Bombyx mori: one gene and its partner. The protein of the gene in region 1 purifies or fractionates together with the protein of each later gene. This does not show direct contact. Links are inferred from orthologs where the notes say so. Each region holds a gene or a part of one and is shown on either strand. Other genes may lie near its edges.

The links.
Region 2: the proteins of sorting nexin-4 (region 1) and sorting nexin-30 purify together in Homo sapiens (co-immunoprecipitation; 4 studies listed by BioGRID and IntAct, counting the BioPlex papers as one, with this or other methods). This does not show direct contact. The link is inferred for Bombyx mori from reciprocal best matches to the Homo sapiens genes SNX4 and SNX30.

What each region holds. Positions count from the first base shown.
Region 1 is NC_085115.1:12,909,503-12,917,915, forward strand, and holds the start of sorting nexin-4, read right to left. Parts: upstream 5,123-8,413; 5' UTR 4,982-5,122; coding exon 4,904-4,981; intron 4,830-4,903; coding exon 4,723-4,829; intron 4,278-4,722; coding exon 4,139-4,277; intron 3,429-4,138; coding exon 3,251-3,428; intron 2,682-3,250; coding exon 2,543-2,681; intron 1,654-2,542; coding exon 1,526-1,653; intron 1-1,525. UniProt on the Homo sapiens protein: Involved in the regulation of endocytosis and in several stages of intracellular trafficking. Plays a role in recycling endocytosed transferrin receptor and prevent its degradation.
Region 2 is NC_085130.1:9,747,118-9,754,509, reverse strand, and holds the start of sorting nexin-30, read left to right. Parts: upstream 1-3,128; 5' UTR 3,129-3,253; intron 3,254-4,730; 5' UTR 4,731-4,735; coding exon 4,736-4,870; intron 4,871-5,507; coding exon 5,508-5,627; intron 5,628-6,195; coding exon 6,196-6,337; intron 6,338-7,348; coding exon 7,349-7,392. Other genes in the region: Cdk9 (cyclin dependent kinase 9), read right to left, coding at 132-269, 819-904, 1,449-2,133. UniProt on the Homo sapiens protein: Involved in the regulation of endocytosis and in several stages of intracellular trafficking. Together with SNX4, involved in autophagosome assembly.

The DNA of each region.
Region 1 (8,413 bases):
AACAGTGCCATGTCGTCAGTACATCTAACGTAACTCAACAAGAGCCTACTATACATGAACACACTGAAATGTGATGTAAAATGCTCACAAAAACTACTAACTTTTACTAATGGTTCATGGTACAAAAATCATGATGGTAATGCAAATAATCTATTTCTATGACGATATCATAGAACACCCCGATAGAAACGCTGTGCACACAGTGAGTCCTGCATCGTCAGAGATTGAAGACGGTCATGACATCGAGGTGAACGTGGACGTCCACCAGTCAGGAGAGGCCGTATTAGAGGCGACTTCTTCTTAAGTCAAAGTCGATGGGCGGAGCCATTGATGACGAGCACTCACGTGGACTCGTGACGTCATCTGGAGGGGCAACCGACCGACCAGCGGGGACATCACGCCACCTCGGATCACTTTGGCTAGCAGCGCGCGCAGCGTTCACTTGTCTTAGATTTAATATTCTGTGTCGATCGTTCCTACCTACTTTTGTATTTTTTTTATTTATTTAAATTATTAAGCCGTTGCTAAAAATATATAATCTGAATCTCGGAAACGGCTCCAACGATTTTTATAAAATTTAGTATACAGGGGATTTCGGGGGCGATAAATCGATCTAGCTACGATTTATTTTCAGAAAATGTTGTTTTATTCGTGTTTTCAATAATCAACTTTATCGATAATCAACTTTATAACTCTTCCCGACATCTATTGGCGAATAATAATACTATTTTTACTGCTTTAGACACAACAAGATGGCGTTATAAAAAAAAAAAACGAGCAAAGCTCGGTCATCATCTAGTATCAATTTAACTTAGCAGTCAATAAGCAAATGTCACAATAGTATATATCGAGGGAAGAAAAGCTCTTTAATCGACTACCGCGGGGACACTAGTAATTTAAATCGCGTCCGTGCCGTATCCGCTCCACGCGTGCGCCGCGCCTTAATCCTTACGCCGTTTGTGTGTATTTCGCGCTTTAAGCTGCTTTCAGTCTACGCTATAGCATAATAGCATATATTATATATTGTTATAGACACGTTCATACTGTACTGAGTCGACGTCGCCCAAAACACGTCAGCTCGGATCCTCCCGATCCATTAACGGTGCTTTTAGGTACCCCAAGCACCGGTCATCGTTCTCGTCGAACCCGTCGCTTGCAACAAAGGCCTCGGTGAGTAAATTAACCCAAAAACACAGCTTACTGAGTTTCTCGCCTGATCTTTTCAGTGGATCGCGTTTCCGATCCGGTGGAAGATTCTGCGAGGCACGTCTCTTGCTAGGGCCAGTGTTAGCAACATCGTCAGGTTTGAGCCCCGTGAGCTCACCGACTAGTGACATGACATGGTCTCTCTAGACCATCAGCTTAGGTATGAATAAAAAGAAGAAGAAAAAAAGTACTGTACTGTATATTATTGGCTAAGTATACGCTGGTATACTATATGACACTATAGTATAGCACAGTCTGAAAGCAGCTTTAGAAGCGAGTCGCGAACGGATAGAACTAAATTCGAGTTTAAAGTCGTTACCGAAATAATGTCCGGCCTTCTGCAATCCGTCTCCCATCTCCTTCTCGATGACGCTCCATTCACTAAACAGTTTGCCGTAATTCGCGTGCAGTTTACATAGAGCGTAATTTTTTTCTATTATTTTGGATCTGAAAAATAATTTTGGGATGATTAGTTTTTTGAGTAAGTTTGATATTTTAGTTTTTATTGCTCAGATGGGTGGACGAGCTCACAGCCCACATGGTGTTAAGTGGTGACTGGAGCCCATAGACATTTACAACGTAAATGCGCTATCTACCTTAAGATATAAGTTCTAAGGTCTCAGTATAGTTACAACGGTTGCCCCACCCTTCCAACCAAAATGCATTACTGCTTCACGGCAGAAATAGGTGGGGTGGTACCTACCCGTGCGGACTCACAAGAGGTTTTACATGAACATTTTGATGAACGTCACTAACCTACAAGTAAAATATTGAATAATATTAACAAGTGTATATATGTATTGAAATATCAGTCACTCATTATATACTTAAAATTTTGAGATATAAACTCTTTTTTGTGATCTAAGTGCTCACTAAGAACGGATTTTATGTAAATCTTAATCAGAGTGGATATACTATTCTAGGTATAATAGAAACGCATATATTTAGCAAGCGTCGCCATGGCAACCGCATGGGACTAGCAGCCTCAGTACCAGAGAGAGTGACATGATCAACTATTGTAACACGATAATGTTTCATAAATTTTAACATCAATTTAGAGTTAAATAAAGTTGAATAGCAGGGCATATTTAGTGTTGCAAAATGTTAAAATGTACAATATGAAGATTGTTTTCTATAATTAACTCCATTGCTTCTTTTTCACTGAAGATGTCTTCTAAAATGTAAGGCATTAGTGCTACATTGTAGTTATAGATTCATTTCTTGAATATCGAAGTGTTAGGGCATTGTTACTATCTTGCTGCTTGTTTAATTTTAATCTTTACTATTTCAATCTATATAACTTTAAATTTAATTTATATTTATAAGTTTCATTTACCTTGTATATAAAAAGTTTCCTAAATTAGTTTCTAATTGTTTCCCGTAGTTTTTGAAGGACTCAACCTCAGGATCGGGCTTCTTCAACCTTATAGATACGGACAGTGATTTTATTTTATTTTCAGCTTGTAGTAAATATCCTGTTGGAAAAACGTCATGCAATTACTTTTTTTATTGTCCTTGTAGACGAGTAGACGGTACACTTGATAGTGAGTGGTTACTATCTTTCAGGATCACAGCAAAACCGCTGCCTATCATTGAGTAATATCTCCACAAATCTATTTGATTTTTAACTAATTCAAAATAATAATATGAATTGTTCATTACTAAGTAGGCTTTTTCAATATTAATTGCATAGATGGAACAAGCTCCCAGCTCACTTGGATGTAGTCTGGTTAAAGAAGTCAAAAGATATCTCAATGTGAGTATGTCGAAACAACTAGAGTCATGATGTTGAAGTATCTCAACTGTATTGTATATCTTTTCTATTCTTGAAACTGGAAACATGGATCTTGGAAATTTCAAGTATAAGTTACTTTACTACTACTACTAAAACTTTTAGCTAGTTCAGTCAAAGTTATATCAATATTTCTGTACATAATAATATGTATATGTTAGAGTTGTATTCTATTTTTATACTTATTACAATATTTTTTATTAAAATAGTGTTCAGATTTATTTATAATATGGAAATTGCATTTTAACTTACCACTATCGGTGATAGTTTCCCGCCAACCATGTTCTTCTTGTAGGAAATTAATGAATTGATCATCGAAACATAGTCGAGGGTGAGATGCGACTCGTAATAGGAAATTTTCTAAGCCAGCTCGACGGCGCTCCACAAACTCCGGGTCTGTAGTGTCCGATTTGCGCCACGCGTAAAGCACCTGATATTAAAGACTATGTTAAATTATTTTAAAATTTAGTCTTTATATAATTTTTTTTTCTTTAAAATTTCCAAAAATAAATTATAAGTTTTCCTAATGTATCATAAAGGCAGCTAGATCGAAATAATATATCCAGGTACAATAGATCCTATTTGCTAATAAGTAAACAGATGTTGCTTGTATGTAATACTTTTTCTGACAAAAAGGATAATTACGAAACAATAATCACTTATTTATTGTTGTTCAATAAATTAATCTAATTTTGTTTTTATGTTAGTTGTGTTTTTTTTGTTTTGTAGATGTTATCTATATAATCTCATAATAAATTTAAATTAAAAAAAACTCTATAGTGTATTTTCAAATTATTTCTAAAGCCAGGACAGGAATTTTCTGCAAATCTTGAGTCTTGCACAATAGTCTACATAATCTGTAGTAACACCTGTTAACAGTGGACCAAATTCATGCAATACAAAATCTCATGACAAAGAGTTCACCATTTCTCTCAAATCGTCTTGTTGTTTTAGATCCATTTCAATTTACAATTTAACAAAGAATTTAAGACATATTTCTTAAAATATTAAGTGTTTTTAAAAAAACTCAATTGTTATTAAAAAATAATTAGTAATTAATATAAATTTTCTAAAACATAGGAGATTTAATTTCTTCATCACTTATGACATATTTTGGTTATATTTTAAATATGACCTTACCCTTTTCTCTGGTAATGGAGGTATAACAACATGTGGATATGTGACTTGTAGGTAATCATGTATTTGTTCGAATTCAGTGTATCTCCTCCAGATTGTGCTTATTTTTGACTGTACTAATTTGTAATCAGGATCTGTAACTCTGCAAATAAAAAATTATTATATTCATGATGTTAGTTTAGTCCAAGTGTTTCCAGTCAGGCATCAGTCGATGATGTGGGTAAGTGCGTAAATACAAAAAAAATCGGAGAAAATTATTTTTTTCACAAATCACTTTTATTTTCTTTGAGCGTGTTAATCAAATTTTCTTCAAATTGTATTATTAAAACATTGATTAAACAAATGACAAAAAGAGCAAGTAAGTAAAAAAATAAAGTGATAAAGCTTTTTGTAATATTGTGTTATTTCGCTTTTATTTTTGTTAATGAAAACACAACACAAGGGTTGGCGTAAATTCGGAGAATCAAAATTCCATCGCAACCAATCTCCACGAGTATAACGTTACTCAACCCGTAAACTATTCAAATTGGTCTAATTGACTGCCTATTTGGGTGCAATTTGTAATTTCAATCATAGTTGAATCTTACTTTAAATCGACGAGATATACTGTGTAATGATCTCTGACGTGTAGAGTACCATTAGCTCGTTTCTCCGACTCCACAATAGTTATATCGACATGCTTCAACAGTGTGTCCTGCGAAAACAAACCTACGTAAATAAAATTATTAACATACAAAAAGAAAGAAGGCGTAGGTAATAAAATATTACCTGATTTTCGAAGTCTTCTACTGTTTTTATTGCTTTTGGCGATTTAGGTGATTTGACCGGTGTATTATCTTTAGACATTTTAAATATTGATAACAAAGAAACAATTAATATACGGAAAACGAATGAGGATTTCCCAAATTATTAATTTTTAATTCTTCAGGTAGGCAGTGATATGACAAAATAAATACGTCAAAATAGCAGTTAAACGTCATCAGTGACAGATGTGTTTTTTTTTATTTGGCGTAGGGATAAAAAGCAAATTTCTTCCTTTCAGCCAGCAAAGGTGAAATTTGCTGGGATATGTATATATTATATATTATCCCTAAGTACCTACCAAGAACGAAGAAATATAAACCGTTTATAAGAAAGCCCGCTCGTTCGAATTTAGGTGCTTACTCTCCCTTAAACAGAATCCTTTGGGACTACAATAATGTCCACGGTAGCGCGGTCTCCGTCAATGTTCCTTCGGAGTTGTCCGATTGCGCTGAACTTATTTTAAGTGAAATAGATGTTTTTTCAAATTGTCTCACTACTTACAGGAAAAATCTGTCGCGGATCATCTCCCAATTAAATTAATCTTAAGCAATGAATGAAATGTATCCAATTCTTAGCTGTATATTTTATTTTTATTTTTGATGTTAATGCAATGTCGATTGCACCTATAATTGAGGTGACATCTGCCATGAACTTTTGTCAATTTGTCAATGTTTTGTATTGATGATCACTTTGTTGGTGCAACTTATTAAATAAATAAAATAAAATAAAATAAAATTTGTAGCAAACCGACCGGTACGTCACTCTCGCGGCCGTATGCCCGCTCGCTATACATAGTTAGCATCTATGTCAATCTTTTCAACAGTGTATAATCTATGTTCCGGGCACTTCCGTTTTGAGTGTGAATAGCGTGCGCCCGCGTCTAAATGTAATTATTGTGTAAAATTGAAATTGTTTGTGATAAAGGAAGATTAAAATTCGAAAGTCGATATTGGTGACTAACCCATAGTTTTAAATACCCCTGAGATCTACCCCTCACTATATCTGGCTGCCCAACGTTTCCTAATTTTTTTCTTGCTTGGACTAACAAAATGGCGCGCACGCTTTTGTGAAAAATTTGCTAACTATTGTATGCTGTTGGTGCTTAATTGTAAAGAATGCCTTTAACTAGAAATCAAGATCGCCAGCAACGTCGCGAAGACGACGTTATTCCTGCTGCAGATGCAAATGCCAACGAAAATCACGAGGAGCATGATAGCCCCCATGATCGCCCCCACGCCGAATCACGTAGCAACAATTCTACGTTCAACCTGGATGATGTTTCAGCGTTGATGGCCTCGCTGCAACGTTCGCAGGCCGAAACATTTAAGAACATTATGTCGTACGTGATGGAACAAAGATCGTCGACTCCGGCACCTCCGCCGATGCCCCCAGTGAACGTAGATGGTACCTTGGCGCGTTGCAGAGCTTCTTTCAGCGGTGCACCTGGTGAATCTGTTGAGGCCTTTATAGATGCAATTGAAAGTTATACAGAATGCGTTCAAGTATCTGACGCTAACATCATACGAGGCCTAGCCATGCTTTTGTCTGCTGACGCAGCTACGTGGTGGCTAGGATTAAAGCATCACATCTCCACTTGGAACGAAGCCAAAGAAAATTTAATATATGCATATGGCACCCGCCTTCCACCACATAGAATATATTTGGAAATATTTGCTTCCCCGCAGGATAACGAAAACACAGACAAGTTTGTTGCTCGTATTCGTACGCTTATGGCAAAGCTACCGCGGGATGATATTACTGAAAAAGTACAACTTGATATGATATACGGGTTGCTTCATAATAGAATACGCACAAGATTGCGCCGTGAACAAATCACATCTTTCAATTCATTATTAAACCATGCTCGGAATATAGAAGATTCGATAGAGGAGACTCAATCGAGACCAGTGTCGTCCACTAGTGGTGTGCGTTCGATCCGTGCCCAGCCGGCCCAGGCTGCGAGTCGGCCTGAACCGTGCGCCGCTCGTGCGAGTGCCCCGGCGCCGCGCGCGCGCTTTCCAAACTCCGCCGCGGCCGTCGTGCCCGCCACCGCTGTGCCTGTCGCTGTCGCCCAGCCTGCCGCTGCCACGCCTGCCGCTGCTGTGCCAGGTTCTGCAGAGCAATTCGTGACCACGAAGAAACAGCGTCCAGTGTGCTCCTACTGCAAACGGTTTGGACATGCACGGGAACAGTGCCGTAAGTTAAACAACCGAGGTGAGCAAAGTCAATCTAACTTTTCCGAGGGTGTGCAAAATGACAATAATGCGTTTTATAGTGTTCAGTGTAATGTTAATAATACTAACACAATTAGTTCTAATTTACCTGTTCAGAATGCAATGTATGATGTTAAGCAGCATGACAAAAATAATTTTCTGAGTAATTTTGAATGTCAAAATTTTTGTAACCGGGATGCAAATATTAATTATGCTACCATTAACAGAGGCCCTACTTCCAGAAAATCTTATTTTCATGCCTGTAATGATTCTGTGTCAAAGAATATTAACTGTAATTGCACTAGTAATAATGAGATGCCAACCTTTTGTGATTCTCATGTTTTATATAATCAGGATGTTCGGACAAAGTGTAAAAATTTAAATATTTGTTATAACCAGGGAACTAGACCTAAATGTAAGAACTCAATTTTACCTTATAATCAAATAATTGAACCAAATTGTAATAATTTAAAATTTTCAACTAACCATGACTGTGACACAAAAGGCAGTAAGTGTAATTTTGGAAAAATTAACGAATGTGTGGAAATTGATAATTGTTTGAATTTTAATTATTGTACATGTGAGGGAAGTGTTGTAGCGTCCGTGTACGACCGTGAGAGTGATGATAGGTATTTGCATTTACGGCCTATTTTCAAAATTCAAGTTCTCGGTAAACAGGGTACTGCACTTATAGATACACAGCTAAGCATTGTATTGCTGGTCACACGCTGTATGCTCTCCTTCTGCAAAAGGGTCACCCTCTTACTCCCTCCACTAGGCGAGTCAAACTTGCTGATGGGCATGTTCGGAATATGAATGTATTGACAACCATATTACCAGTGAGGTTAGAACACATAGTGATTGATATTCCATTTATAATCTTCCCTGATTCTAATGATAATGAAACTTTACTGGGTATTGATTTTATTAATGCTGCCAAAGTTATTATTGATTTTCATCGTCATGAATGGTATTTTAGTACTGATGCTAAGGTGCATTATAAATTACTTTTTGAACCTATGTCTCGTGGTGTGTGCATAGCTTCTACTAACATGCTTCGGGATGATGAAGGTATGCACTTGCAATCAGCTGAGCGCCAAGCATTATCCGAGTTCCTTATTCGGCATGAAAGTATTTTTACAGCAGGGGGAGGTCCGACACCATTCATAGAACATTGCATAGACACCGGAGATCACCCCCCGATAGCTGTGCCGCCCTATCGCCTTAACCCTTCCAAGAAGGAGACGATGAAGAATGAAAT
Region 2 (7,392 bases), on another chromosome or scaffold:
TTTTTTTTTTTCAAAAATGATTATGTCTTATTTCCACACTGCAATTGAGTACATAGGTACCCTGATTCTGACCAAACAGTCTTACTAAGCCAATAGATATAAAAATCTCAATGATTAAATTCCATATTCACCTTGACTTTCCTCTTTTGACCCTTTGGCAACTCCATTTTGTTGTAAAGATCCAAGTTCTCCACTCCGGGCCAGACATCAGGTGTACAGGAACCGCACAGCTGCGATATTAATATCAGCTGCTGCTGTTCTGTCGGACCCTGAAATATTACATTTCTAATCAAAGATCCATGGTAGACAAGAATTTTTTTTTTAACTGCTGATCTGTGGTGTATCGTCTGTCTTTCTGGAGCCTCAGCCTCTTAGTCTGTCATTTCTAAAACTATTCTATACATATTCTAAAAATAATAACATAAATATCTACAGAATATACAATTACAATAAAATTTATCAATTTGAAAAGAAATAATTCGTAGATTTTGTGACTCATTGTAAACCTTTATCTATGAACATCATTGAACCAATAAGTCTATCCAATAATACTCCATTAAATTTGGGGTTTATGGCATATAATTTGTGATCATTATAAAATTGCAAGTTTATTATTGAATAAACTCAATAGAGGGTTTGGTATTTTATGCTTTCCCATTACAAGAGCAGTGATTTTTGACTAGATAACACAAAAACTTATTACTGCATTTTTAAGCAAGGGCCCTGCATCTATTTCCTTTGACTAGATTTGCAAAAAAAACTAGATTAAACTGTAAAAGTAGTTTTAATCAGGTCGGTATCTTTGAAAAGTTTCAAACCTGCATGATCGGGGAGCGAGTCCACATTTCAGCCATGATACATCCGGCTCCCCACATGTCCACTGGTGGACCGTAGTTACGGTCACCTTTAATTAAATAAGGCATGTTAAAGCTGATACAACACACCACAGCTCATTTTTCATATATTTTTCTAAATGAGCAGACAAAGACAACTCACTATTACATGTTATTAAATGTTAGTTATAAGTTATTCAAAATCACTCCCACTATGAAAGATAACATAACACTTGTCTCCTTTAAACTAAAATGTATGACTGCTTCGATGCTTTAGATAAAAAAAAAAATGTTCTTGTAGGCAGATGAGCAGAAGGCTCATCTGATGGTGAGTGGTTGTAGCTTATGAACGTCAGCAATACTAGGAGCAAAGCCAAGCCGTTGCCTACCGTGAAGTACTCTCCACAAGCCTCGTTTGAAGAAAGACATGACGACAGACAGGCTCTCGGGAAACATCATGGAGGGGAGCTTACTTCAAGGCCTTACTACTTAGCAACAGGAGTTAGTAGAATAATGGTGCCCACTCATCCAAGCTCAATTTGTCTTATTACCAGAAATTATGGTTTACATAAAAAAACACTGTTCATTAATAAATAATATGTTTTAAAAACTCACCTAACAGCAATTCTGGAGGCCTATACCACAAAGTAACAACACGATTAGTATATTTATTGGCTTGTCCAGACTTTGCGACGCTGAATGCTCGAGCAAGTCCAAAGTCAGCCAGTTTTAATGTTCCATTCTTTGTTATTAGTACATTGGCAGCCTTCATGTCTCTGTGGAGTATTTTGTTGCTGTGTATGTAATAAAGTCCGTTCAGTAATTGTTGCATGACTTTTTTTATTTCGCCGAGACTGAACTTAACATTCACGTTCGATAGCAGGCCAGCTAGATCGTGTTCGCAGAAGTCGAACACCAAATAGAAAGTGGAACGGTATTTATTGTGAACCGTAGCCTTCGTGCGGCATATTTCTATCAAGTTTACAACGTTTTCGTGTTTTAAGAGCTGCAAGATCTTTATTTCCCGCAGGGCCGTGATCGGGAAACCCTCTTTTTCATTGTCCATTAAGACTTTTTTCATGGCAACAAACTTTTTGCTACTGTTTCTCGCGCGCGCTTTGAACACTTCACCGAATGTTCCTTGTCCGATTTTAGCTACTTTTTCGTATTTGGAAGACTCGTCGCAGAAGGGAAAGTCGAATTCCTCTATGTATTTCTCCTTTTCCCTCATGTTTAATATAGTTGAAGTTGTGCTTAAAACTGGTTGCGTGGGCTCCCGCGGAGCACTTACGCTTTGCATTTTGGACGTAATTTTGGCGGTTTTCAACGAACTTTTAGTATGAATATGATATTTTTAATTGTAGTGTAGACAAAGCTTTTAAAAAATTTCACATTAATTATGTTTTCACTTGGAAACGGCGAAATTTATTGATACCCTATCAGCAAAATCACAATAGGAAGAAGTGAAATGCAACACTGACTGAAGACTGTGACACTAATTAAAACGTCAACTGTCAATATCAATTTTTATTTTTTATTTATTGAATACGCAAAGAAAAGAGCCCAAATCAAAATGTTTTGTACCAAAGGCCAATGCCCGCCATATCTGTTGCTTAAAAAGTGAAGTAGAGTTAATTGAGGATTGGAATTAAATGAAATTAGATGTTGTTGATGGGCAGGTCCCCCTGCGCTGGTCAGACCAAATCCGTACCGCAAATACACTATCGTATTTGAGGTCATCTATAGCGTCGAGAATATATCGACGTATGGCGTAAGATAATCCACCGGAGAGATTCTGAAATCCCATAGAGGTCACGACCCACAGCATTGAAGATTTGGTCAATTGTCGGATGGCTAGAAATGAAACACACATTAAAACTTCGTAATTTAGTGGAAAAAGAAAATTTTGTAAGAACTTGAAAAGTCATACCCAGTGACTATTTCAAATATTTATGAGGTTTCGCATAGCGTTAAACGGTAAAATAGGCAGCGGTTATTACATATATTTTGGACTAAAACACTACCTATTGATCTACTCAATTTAACTTGGCTGAAGTTGTAACGAAAAAGTTAATTTAACAATAAAGTAAACATCCATGGTTTTAAATAACTTTATTAAGATGGTATGTACTGCTTTTCTTTGAATGTTATTCAGGTTACCACAATTTCTGTTAAAACAAATTAATTAATTTACAGTGTTTCTAAAATAAATGAAAATACAAAAAATCGACTAAAACGAAAGTATTGCTTGTAAGACATCTAAAATTGGTAAACTGTGAGTTTATAGGTTTTGATGTCAATGACCCTTAAACGTTGACATGAAAACGAATAAAGAGAAACGTCAATGTGTCATCGGAATTGATTTTTGTTTTTGTTACAAAAAGTTACACATTCACAACAATAGTAAAAGACGCTTCGAGGTAAATAACGCAATATTATACTAAAATTTGAATAAACTAAACATTAATTGAGTTTAATTGAGTTTAATACCTAGGCGCTTCGTGACAGAATTACTAAAGTAGGCCGACAAAAAGTGATTTCTTAAAAAAGTTTTATAAATTCTTTCTATCACTGCGTGTGCCGCTGATAAAACTATATGGACTAATACGAACACTAGTTATACGCCCATTTAAATTTACTGTAAATATATTTGAATAACTTTGGCGTATTATATTATTAATTAGAGATTAGTTATTAGATTAGTATTAGAGAAAATATTAGATTAGACTTTGATAATATTTATTATGTATATGTATTTATTGAAGTACGAGTATTTGTATCTATAAATATTATGTATGTTATATATACATATATTACTATGTTTAAGTTATATCACTATCACACTACACCTAACAAGGTTCATCTCTGCACCCTCCTAAGGTAGGTTGTCAGAGAATGCCTATGGCTTTAAGTCCGCCTTTATAAGTATATAAAGTTATAAATATATATTAATTCACGACACTCTTTCGATTTGTTACTGCCTCAAGAATAGCATCTAATTAGTACCTTCAAGTTTACGAGTTGTCTTAGAGGGTCTGTAAAGATAAACAATCTTACCTTTTTTACCATAGCTATCAAAGATGGCCTGTCTGGCATAAAACCTGGTAGTACTACTGCTGCCCAGAGGAACTAACTAGCTTTGGCAGCCATAACCACATTTCAGTTTCATAATAATAATTCATAGAATAGAATTTCAGAAACAAAACATGTAAACTAATTTAACAATTTTCCTTAATAGGACACTTATAACATCTACTAACTAGTTATTAACTATTAAATGAATTGAATTTATCCTAAATTCTGATCAATTTTCGATAGATTAAATATTAAAATTAATACTTTTATGTTTGGTGTGTAAATTATCTTGAAATATTCTTGTAATTAAATATTTAATTTTTTAATTTTTCGTGACACAAAAGTTTGTTTAAAAAATCCTTCCTTAAATAGCTGCTATACAACATTTTCGGAAATTACTGTCAAAGGCCCAGGAGATTTCTATAAATAAATCACATTCAATAAACAAATTATTATTTTTTAAATTTATTCTGATTTTCCAACAAATGATACACTGATTATGAAAATTGTTAAAAAGGTAACAAATAGTTCTTATCATTCTATACTCCCTCAATTGCAGGAAAATACATAGTAAAAATAACAATTATGCTCTAGCAGTGTAAATCACACAAAAATATAAACCGGCCAATAAAAATTAAAACAATAAAAACTTTATGGAGTTAAAAATTTTAAAATTAGCTCAAATAAAAAGAACAATATATAGATATATTATATTTCATTTGAAATCCATAGGCCTACAAAATAAATAAAAAATTGTAAAAAAAAAAACTGTTATCATTTGTTATTCAAAATAATGATGTAATGAAAATCTGAATATTCCAGACAAAATGGCCAGTGAAAGCAGTTCAGCAATGCTGGACATGACAGATGCTGACTCCGACGATATGGACATGCCGACTCTCATGGACGATCAGGAGCCATCACCGCTCATCATGGAGCACGGCTATGACATTGCAATTAAGGCAAGTACACCCAAATTGATTTTACAGTCCTGTTTTTAGCTACTTGATGGCTTATATGTTGATGCCAATACATACATTATTGCCATGATAAGTATTTCTTATTATATATACTCTTATACAGGGTGTCCCAGAAAGAATGGATAATCCTGAAACCCCTCATAGTAGAGCTATTGGGGACTCAAAATAAAACAATAAAAAAAATATTTCTTATGTAGTACCCAAATTAAAAATAAAGAAAAAATACCAAATTTCGTTCAGATTAACTTTTATAAAAAATTACACTAGCTACTCATAGGTTTTTTTTTATAGCTTTGATGCGTGGACGAGCTCACGGCCCACCTTAACTGGTTACGGGAGCCCATAGACATCTACAACATAAATGCGCCACCCACCTTGAGATTTAAGTTCTAAGGTCTCGTTATAGTTACAACGGCTGCCCCAGCCTTCAAACCGAAACGCATTACTGCTTCACGACAGAAATAGGCGGGGTGGTGGTACCTACCGGTGCGGACTCACAAGAGGTCCTACCACCGGTAAAAACTGCTGAAAAGCAGCTACAAAATTTTATTTAGAATTAGATTAGACAGCGTTTTACGGAATATGTTATGGTGTGTTGACTCGTGGCTTGGTGTTGCAGGTCGATGCCCCCATAAAACAGCTGTCGACCCTCGAGACGTATGTGACGTACCGGGTGCGTTGCGTGTGCGCGCGGTGGCCGACCCCGCCCAGCGTGAGACGACGGTACAATCACTTTAAGGTTAGCCTGATTCATGCATCCGATGTCTCAAGCTAGTGTGAAGAACTCTCATATTATGTCTCATATTTTTCAATGAGATTTGTATATATATTTTTTCCTATCTATGCTGATAGCCTTGAGAGACTATATATCAACGTTACCGGACAAGTAGATGAGCTCACGGGGCTCAAACCTGGCGAAGTTGCTAATGCTGACCCTAGCAAGAGCAGTGCTTTGCAGAATCTACCACCGGATCGGAAACGTGACCCACTAAGAAGATCCCGCGAAAAACTCAGTGGGCTGTGCCTGTGGGGTAATTTATTCGCCGAACCCTTCGTCGCAAGCGGTGGGTTTGACGAGAACGATGGTCTGTGGTGATGATGTCAGTGGATCGGGAGGATCCGTAATGACGTATTTTGGGCGACGTCGACTGTTTACCATTCGGTCTGCAGGATTGGGAATGATTTGTATAGAGATCTCAGCGCCACCTAGTAGACCTGACGAACAAGCGACGGAGCACTCACGACCACAGTCGAGGTCAGCATGCTCTGGGTAGTTCAGATCGCGTGCAGGGCGTGGCGGCTTGCAGGTGCTGCACAAGCGGCTGTCGGCGGCGCACCCCCTCACCGCGGCGCCCCCCGCGCCCCCGCTGCACTCCGCGCGCCAGCAGCTCGACAGATACTCGGCGTCGTTTGTCGCCATAAGGACCTTAGCCCTCAACGCGTTTCTAGGTGAGGAGACAATGATAAAGGATATTATAAGGATATTAAAACTATAGAGGATAGAAGTAGGGGAACACCAGCTCAGTGTTTTAAAAAGCGTCCGGTGTAAGGGAGTAAATTAGGTGGCGCCACAGGAGCAGCAAGTGGAGAGGTTAAAAAACAGCGCCATAAGCTACTACAGTTCACTTCAACCTGCGCGCACCTCTGTTTAAAACTGTTATATTCATATAATTCCCCCTTCCTACACTAGCGCTATGTCGGTGAGTGTTCCAACAACAACGCGCTGCTTACAGACGGACACTTTATCAACTTGTCCCCTATACAAGATGACGCTCATTACATTCATACTACCTGGTCTGACTGTGGTCATCCACAGTGCGTTTCCAGAAATATTTTTTGCCACGTACCGTCCGGCTTTGGAATGAGCTCCCCTCCACGATGTTTCTCGAGCGCTATGACGTGTCCTTCTTTAAACGGGGCTTGTAGTGAGTACTCAACGGTAGGCAGCGGCTTGGCTCTGCCCCTCGCATTGCTGAAGTCCATGGGCGACGGTAACCACTCACCATCAGGTGGGCCGTATGCTCGTCTGCCTACAAGGGCAATAAAAAAAATATCTACCCTCCCAATTCCCCCTTCAAACTTGAATTAATAACAGTTTCCCGGTAAAACTTAGCAGCTTGGTGTTATTTATTTATTCATTCAGGACACACCAACAGCAATACACACAAAACATCCAAGCTTAAAATTAACTTGTATAAATTTAAGTACTGATATGTAAGCCAGGTACAGGCATGTACAACAATCTCTTTTAACAACACTATGACATGTTACAGCAATTTTACAAGCTAGGGAAAAATAGGTTAAATTTAAATGTTAAAGAATTTAAGAAGTTATCAAGTAATAGACGTTAGAGGCAAACAAATATCTACTTTATGTACTGTTGTTACGGTCGCAACTTGCATGTCAGACGTCTAGTCGCGATAGATACGTCTCAGCCTGACTGTACCTGGTTGCCAACAGATCGCATCGCCAAACATCCGATCCTGACACACAGCGAAGACTTC